Daphnia pulex: one gene and its partner. The protein of the gene in region 1 purifies or fractionates together with the protein of each later gene. This does not show direct contact. Links are inferred from orthologs where the notes say so. Each region holds a gene or a part of one and is shown on either strand. Other genes may lie near its edges.

Evidence for each region.
Region 2: the proteins of segment polarity protein dishevelled homolog DVL-3-like (region 1) and protein prickle-like purify together in Drosophila melanogaster (affinity purification with western blotting, with the first as the bait; 3 studies listed by BioGRID). This does not show direct contact. The link is inferred for Daphnia pulex from reciprocal best matches to the Drosophila melanogaster genes dsh and pk.

The regions. Positions count from the first base shown.
Region 1 is NC_060018.1:12,878,337-12,882,848, reverse strand, and holds the start of segment polarity protein dishevelled homolog DVL-3-like, read left to right. Parts: upstream 1-1,575; 5' UTR 1,576-1,793; coding exon 1,794-1,954; intron 1,955-2,086; coding exon 2,087-2,156; intron 2,157-2,225; coding exon 2,226-2,314; intron 2,315-2,382; coding exon 2,383-2,462; intron 2,463-2,578; coding exon 2,579-2,647; intron 2,648-2,754; coding exon 2,755-2,901; intron 2,902-2,965; coding exon 2,966-3,203; intron 3,204-3,272; coding exon 3,273-3,401; intron 3,402-3,473; coding exon 3,474-3,601; coding exon of another isoform or gene 3,602-3,661; coding exon 3,662-3,751; intron 3,752-3,811; coding exon 3,812-4,117; intron 4,118-4,185; coding exon 4,186-4,443; intron 4,444-4,512.
Region 2 is NC_060020.1:6,112,084-6,115,924, reverse strand, and holds the end of protein prickle-like, read left to right. Parts: intron 1-112; coding exon 113-487; intron 488-764; coding exon 765-1,438; intron 1,439-1,524; coding exon 1,525-1,995; intron 1,996-2,077; coding exon 2,078-2,303; intron 2,304-2,373; coding exon 2,374-2,741; 3' UTR 2,742-3,245; downstream 3,246-3,841. UniProt on the Drosophila melanogaster protein: Acts in a planar cell polarity (PCP) complex; polarization along the apical/basal axis of epithelial cells. Correct expression of the alternative isoforms is required for PCP signaling in imaginal disks.

The sequences.
Region 1 (4,512 bases):
GAACTTCAGTGAGAACTGGCTACTAGTGATGTTTCGTTAACGATAACGGATAACGTGAAAAGTCCGTTAACGGACCTTTTTTGGGGTTCGTTAACTTAACGGATAACGCTAACGTTTGGCATTTTTCAGACGTTATTTTCAGACGTTATTTTTGTTTTTAACAGCGCTGCCAAATATGAAATTTTTGGATTTTTCAAAATGAAATTTGTATTTTTTGCGCGCTTCCAACATTTTACTGTAGTAGGTTGACTATGAAAACGAATTTAAATAGCCAATGACAGTGAGCAGTAGTCTTCTTAGCTTCTCTGAGGTTTTTTTTTGCTTTCAAAACGTGGCAAACGAAACTGTATAAGTAGAGTAGGGAAACAACTAGAATCAGAGTGTAAATCTTTAATGTCAGATTCAGACTCTGATGCTCCTGTTGACGGTGAATAAGCGTGGCATCTGCGATGTTAGAAGATCTCGAAAGAAGATTTAATTTCATGACAGATTAAAGAGATCCTGATTTCGACTGCTCCTACCTTCTAGCCACTTCCCTCGACTGCATTGAAACTGAACTTTTAGACAACTTCCACTTTGCAAGTCATGAATTTGATCCTTCTAAGGATCCACCAGTTCAAGATGTGATCTCTTACTGGAAGGATTTGTCTGGTCGTTTCCCCTAATTATCCAAAATGGCCTATAATTTACTGGTTATACCAGTTTCTTCGGCATCATCTGAACGCGAATTTTCCATTGCCGGATGGCACTGTCTAGGACACAAAAATAGGACGGCGGAAGAAGTTTTGGCCGCAAAAGTCTTCCTCACTTGCAATAAGGATTTATTGAGGCCTTTACTTTTTTAGTTGGAACTTGTTTTTTTTTCTTTTGTCTGTGCGTTTATTTAATCCGCAGTTTCTGTTTTTTTTAGTTGATCATTGCTTCATTGTGACATTGTTCAACGCCAGCAGCAATTTAAATATAAGTAATCAAGACCGTGACTGATTTCAGTGATTTGATAGTGCAATTTTTTTATTAAATAACGGTAAAAATAACGTCGAATTTTCGTTAACGGAGACATTTTTAACGGCGTTAATTAACGGCGTTAACGAACGTGAAAAAATGAGACATCGTTAACTTAACGGATAACGCTAACGTTTAGAAAAAGCACTAACGAAACATCACTACTGGCTACTAGCTTGCTGCCCTTTTGCCATGATACCACAACCTAAAAGCAATCGAAAATTTAAGGAATCTTTACAGCTTACATGATAACCAAAGCTAGAATACATATTAATTATTATTTTATGAATAAATATTAATATATATTATATTATATTACTATGGATACGATAGTAAGATCACCAATTCACCATGATTAATGATTATTGTATTATTAATATATCACGGCCGTTAGCGAGTTATTCAACGTTATATGCTATTTTATTTTTTTAAATGAAACAAAAATCACGAACAACAGCCCTTTTTGAAGATCCCCCCTTTTTGCCAGATTTGAATTTGAAGCAAGTAGTGTGCAGTGTGAGCAGTAGATGGCTACGCTGTGGATAGCGGGTCGGAAAAACCATCTGTCGGCTGACGTTAATATTTTTTGGGAAAACCGGGACGCCCAATTGGAGGCTCACAAGACTTTAAGCCTCGCCATATTGAACAGCCTGAGGGAAAGGGGAAAAGTCTGTATTCACTATTCAGTCCTCTTCATGTTGCGCAGATAGTAACTTTTGACGCCCTACCCGTTTTTGTAATCTTGTCAAAACGATTGGTTTGTTGTCGTTGACTCTTGACGCAGTTTCCTAATGGCGGAAACAAAGATTATTTACCACATTGACGAAGAAGAAACTCCCTATCTTGTTAAACTTACAATATCTCCCGATCAAGTTACCCTAGCCGATTTCAAGAATGTTCTCAATCGTCCAAATTACAAATTTTTCTTCAAATCAATGGACGACGATTTCGGGTAAAACCAGTTTTTCTCGTTTTTTTTTTGTTGTTGTCAAGTGGCAATAACGTGTTACATGATAATTGTCCATGTAGTTATTTTTTTATGCAAGTGTAAGCATTGTTTTCTCTTTATTGTTTATGTTTCTAGTGTTGTCAAGGAAGAAATTGTTGATGACGATGCTCACCTTCCATGTTTCAATGGAAGAGTCATATCATGGGTAAACGTAACAAGTTAAATTATATTGATGAATATTTTAAGATGTCTTAATGTTTCTTTCACTTTGTAGCTAGTATCAGCTGAAAGTAGCATTTCAGACTCTGTATCTCAATGTGCTGAGAGTACTGCCACTACTGATGGGAGACCACCGTCTTTCCAGTGAGTTTTTTCTTTACAAATTTTCACTGCTTGTAAAGTTTGGTAATTAACTCGTCATTTGATTTTAGCCCTGGCCATAACAGAAGTATGGCTGAGGAATACACAACAGCTACTGAGACAGAATCGGTCATTAGTTCAAGACACAGTGGTAAACTTTATTTCCTTATGCTGTATTTTTATGTTTATGTGTTTACCTTTGTCCTGTTGCATCTCATTTTTCGTTATCTTCTGCAATTCTTTTGTTCTTTATGTTTTGCCATGAAGAGAGGCACATATTGCCCCGCTCTGGCCGTGTGCATCGTGAAACTTATGAAAAATATGATCGCTTTGATGGTGAGTTTGTTAGCATGGCTTTTTTTGTAGATTGTTGCTTCACTAAATTTTCATGTAGAATGTCTTATCTTACTATATATTCGATTAACATCCGATTGTCTCTTTAGTTCAAGCTCCTCGAAATGGCCACAACGCTATGAGACACAGAGCTGGACACGAATATGAATCCTCTTCTATGATCAGCTCGGATTTAGAGTCGACCAGCTTCGTTGACTCTGAAGAAGATGCATCTTCACGTATCACAACGACCACGGGTATTAAGCAAAGTTATAATAACTCTGGATTTATTGAAAATTTTGCATATTTTGAAATTTGCAGATCACACTAGTGTGTCTCGCCAAGGTCGCAATCGGAGACGTAATCGTCGCCGTCCCCGCCTCCCTCCTCTTTCATCTCGAGCTTCATCATTCTCCAGTATCACGGATTCCACTATGTCACTCAACATAATCACTGTCACCCTCAACATGGACACAGTCAACTTTTTAGGAATTTCCATCGTCGGCCAGAGTCATCAAGGTGGTGATGGTGGAATTTACGTAGGATCCATAATGAAAGGGTATAAACACAGATGAACCTGACATATTTCTTGTGGTAATTTCAAATGAAAATCATTGCTATTATTTAGTGGGGCTGTCGCTTTGGATGGTCGAATCGAGCCTGGTGACATGATCCTTCAAGTCAATGATATTAACTTTGAAAATATGTCAAATGACGATGCCGTTCGCGTTTTACGAGAAGTTGTCCAGAAACCTGGGTAAGCATAACTGTTTTTTTTGTTTTCCAACTTAACATTTAGTACATTGTGTTTTTTATTTGCATGTGTCAGCCCAATCAAACTTGTAGTCGCCAAGTGTTGGGATCCTAATCCAAAAGGATATTTCACTATACCCCGTACGGAACCTGTTCGCCCTATTGATCCCGGTGCGTGGGTTGCTCACACGGAAGCAGCAAGAGGTGATTGTCGTATTTTAAATCATAAATTGGCATCCAACAACAAATCTAACGTCATATTAGGTGGAACGCAGTACCCGAATCGTCCGCCATCTGTGGCGACGATGTCGTCAACCACCACAACAATGATGTCGAGTATGCCAGAAACCGAACGTAAGTTGTCACGTAGAAAATGTACCGAAAGAACTTTTGACTAAGTACTACTTGTCACAGGTCCAGTTGAAGAAGCCCAACCGCTTTCAGTGCGCTCAGACATGCTCGCAATTGTGCGAGCGATGGCGCGCCCAGATTCCGGACTTGAAGTTAGAGATCGCCTTTGGTTAAAAATTGTAATTCCAAGTGCGTTTATTGGATCAGAAGTGGTCGACTGGCTTCACAATCGCGTGCAAGGACTAGAAGAGCGGCGTGATGCCCGCAAGTTGGCTTCCCAGCTTCTGCGAAACGGTTACATCAGACATACAGTAAACAAGTACACATTCTCTGAACAATGTTACTACGTGTTCGGAGACCTGTGTTTGGGTGAGTTGACATTTGAGACTTATCGGGTTATAGAATATTTTGTTTGATGAAAGGGTTTTATCTTGTAGGTGTTTCGGCTCTTCGCCTGACTGATGACACGACATCGGAAGCCGATAGAGACACGCTCGCACCGTTGCCGTTGCCGACTCCTTGGGGTAGTGGGCCTGGTGCTACAGGAGCCGGTGGGGCTACCCCTCACATACCTTATTATCCAACCGGTTATGCGCCCATGCCTTACAGCTACAGCAGTGATCCCCTCGGATCGGCGCCTGTACAAAGTACTACATTTACGTATGGAAGAGAAGGCAGCGTTCACAGTGGTTCAGGTAACCCTCCAAATTCGATTAATTGAATCCTTACAAACTGTATTGTGAAAGTCGAACTTCAAATATGTT
Region 2 (3,841 bases), on another chromosome or scaffold:
CCTCCCACGCGTGCAGAGAAAATTGCGGGCCGAGTTTATATCCTCCCCATCACCATCCAAATAAACATGAAAATAATTCATTTCTTTTTGGGGTAATAAATGGTTTTTGCAGGTCAAATGACGCACGAAGGCCAGCACTGGCATGCAACGGACGGCTGTTTCTGTTGCCACACGTGCCGGGCGTCATTGCTGGGCAGGCCGTTCTTGCCCCGTCGCGGACTCATCTTTTGTTCGATTGGGTGCAGCAAAGGAGAGCCACCAACGCCCAGCACCGACTCCAACGCCAACACGCCCACCCACAGCAACAGCAGCAGCACCAACAACAGCTTGATGCATCACCACCACCATCAGTCCGGCATCAGCGGACCGAGTCCGTCCCTGCTTCCGTCCATCGGCTCGCCTTCATCGTCCGCCTCCCGCAGTCCGAGACGAATCAGGTCTGGCAAGACCCAGCAGCACCAGCAGCAGAGATGGCGTGGCCGAAATGGTATTTCTTCTACCTAGCTCGACACTTTTTATGCTCATCATAATCTCTCGCCGGGCCATATAAATTTTGCATAATCTCGACTTATCGCCGAGCGAATCAATATTTCGTGAAATCACGTTCAGAGACTTTTTTTTGCTCTTTTTTAAATGCCCTTCTGGCGTCGCTGGCATGCCGGCCGATTTCAATATTTGATTTCCAGTGAGGACCGTGGCGAAACTGTTTTTTTTTTTCTTTTTCTTTTTCTTCTAACCGTTTTATTGTTGTAAAACGTTCACAGGTAATCAAGATGACGCCAACTCGGAGACGACTGAAGTCTCAGACTATTCCAGCAGTCAGCAGCAGCAGCAGCTCCAGCAAGCACTTTCGCCCGCATCTTCTGCCAGCCTCAACTTGGGTTTGCCTCCGGCTCCGCCTCGGAGCGTGACCAGCGCCGTCAGTGCCGGATCAGATTTGAACTCTCCGTCGCCCAACCAAGTCCGACGCTCAAAGAGGCAGCCCATGACGGATTTATCGAGCCTCGGCGGATCCAGCCTGAACACCACCGCCAGTCCCCTGTCATCGCCCATGTCCAGCGTCGGCATCGCTCATCGTGGGGTCGTCGACTACCGCCAGCACGTCGCCTCGCCCGAGCTGCCACCGCCGTCGGCTACCACCAGCAGCAGCAGCAGCAGCAACCCGCCGATCAACTTGCAGCAGTTCGCCTCGGCTGGCAACTCGCCCACTCACGTTTACAGATCTCCGCGAATGGGCCGAAAGAGCCTGCGCCCCTACCAAGCGCCACCACCGCAACAGCAACCAGCCCCTCCGCTCTACGAGAATCATCCGCCCTTGGAAACTCTTTCGCTCGACGATTCGCCGCGCTATCGATCCGAGCCGCTGATGTATTCGGGCCTCCCTGGCAGCCCCGAGCAACAACAGGTGGAGCCGAAATCGACCGAAATGCCCCGCCAGGTAACGATCAATTTATCAGCAACGCATGACGTCCCTCGCTAATGACTTTGGTTCTTTTTTTTCCTGTTTCTTCTTCTTCTCCGTAGGAGGTGCAGACGGAAAACGTGGCCGTGGCACCGCCAACCTCAAATGCTCAATCTACGCCCGAGTCGGCGACATCAACAACAACCGATCCGGCCGTTTTGAATTTGGAACAGCTTCTGAGCAAAGTGGCCGCCGGCGGAATGGCGCCTTTGCTGACCAAGCAGGTGCTCGACAAGTTGCTGGAAGCCGCCGCAGCGGCCAACTTGATCCAGCCGCAGCAGCAGCAACAACTGACAGGATTGCGTCGCAGTCCGGACGCCCATTCGTCTTCTCTTCCGGATTTTTCGACTCAAACGGAGCCGGACGGCAACCAGACCGGGTCCAACGATGACGAAGAAGAGGATACTCCGGCCGATGCCAGTTCGCCAGTAGGCGACGGTTGCACGCCTCGAAAATCAAATCTAATGACTGGGCGGAGTAAAAATGGCGGGGCGGATTCCCGACAGCTCAGCGTCAGATTCGATCCAAATCAAGTGAGACTAGTTATAATCATTATTTTGTGATCGTGTGGAAGGCCGCTAACGCGTTTCTCTCTTTCTTTTTTCGTGTCCCCAGGTACCGATGATCGAAGGAGCATCAGGTGGTGGCAGGAGCCCCGAAGGAGACACCAGCAGCAGCAGCAGTAGCGGTGGCTGCCGAAAAACCCACGATCATCACCATCATCACCCGTCTTCCTGCTCTTCATCATTTTCTTACAAGAGCGGCAGTCGCAGGAAACAGCAACAAGTTCAACAGCAAAATCCCAATGTTCCGCGCTCTCACTCTTACTCCGGACGCAGCTGTAAAATCATTTTTTATTGCTTTTGATCATCCTAAAAGACTGAAAACATTAACAACAAATTTTGATTTAGCTCTTGAAGAGGCGATGAATAGCGGCAGCGCTACCGGATTTGGAACCCGAGCTGAAGCTGGTCCCAGCAGTGGCCGACCGGTCAACAGACATCGCCCCATTAATGACATGGACATGGTGAGCGTCTGCTCCACCTGCTCGAGCTCGAGCAGCGACGAGGAGGAGGACTACTCATCTTACCGTCTACCGGCAGCGCGCCGAGCCGCCTACGGTGGCGTCCGGATCAGTTACGTGCCCAACGACGCCATGGCACTGGCTTCAGCCCGCCAGCGCTCTCAAACGCTTCAAACTTCGGCGACGGGACTGTCGTCGAGAGCGGCCTCCGGCGGAGGCGACAAGGAAAAGGACAAGAATTGCATCATATCTTAATTTGACACATATACACGCACACAACTCACTTCATTAAATTACATATACTCAGTGAAAGAAGGTCAATCAGTTCTGTTTGAAAGAAAAGGATATATGCATCACAAGTTTGTTTGCCTTATCATATAATACCGATAGAGATTAACTCTAAAAGAAGAAGAAGAAGAATCTGAGTGTGTTTTTCTTGACTGGAAAAATAGAAAATGGCGAGCACCCAAAATCAGAAAAGCGGAACGACAAATCCTGGCGATATATTCGGTTCATCGATGTCGTTAATACCTTTGGGTGTTGCTTACAGAATTTACGACCACGAGTTGCCACAGTTGTTTGTTTGAATGTGGTCGATTTCTCCAAATAACACACCAACAGTTGGTTCTCGTGCAATAATAGGATTTCTTATTTTATGCAAATGTTTAATAATTATTTATATATAAATATGTATATTGTCAATACATACAGTATATTAAATGAGCAAGATTGGCTACAGTAATACAATTTTTGACTTAACACCATCTGTTTTATTATCATTTATAAATATAGTATTAGACTCATTAATTCCTTTTTTAAAAAGTTAGAGCGTTGGGTGGGTTTGGAAAGGTAAAAAAGGTTCTTTTTCGATCTCTTCCTTTTCTTTTTCGTTTACTGACCCTACCTCTATCTATTACATTACTAAATTTGCAACGCCCACCAGAATGGCAGTAACTTTTGTCTCGTGATCAAGTGCGGAAGTGTTTATCTTTACGGCGCGTATTTGTTAGTGAGAACTTTTAATTGTGCGTCCTGCTGTGCCTGTAAATTCTGTGAAAAGTATTTTTATAAAGGCATTTGATTGTAAACCGAAGGCACTGATGCTATATTATCCGAACAAAGTGTGCAAAGGATGTATGTAGAAGGCGTTGCTGTCAGGATTCAACTTCACGAACATTTGGACCAGGATCGTCTTGTTGGTAAGTCGTGATTAATTTACTCACTGAATAGGCCCACGCTAGAATAATGCCAGTTGTTAGCTCCATTCCATATCCTCGCATTGGATAGCTAGTTCCGCTTCCGCCGCACTTTTTCAATGAGGGCGTCAAAACCAGCATTTGTAACCCCATCTTTTT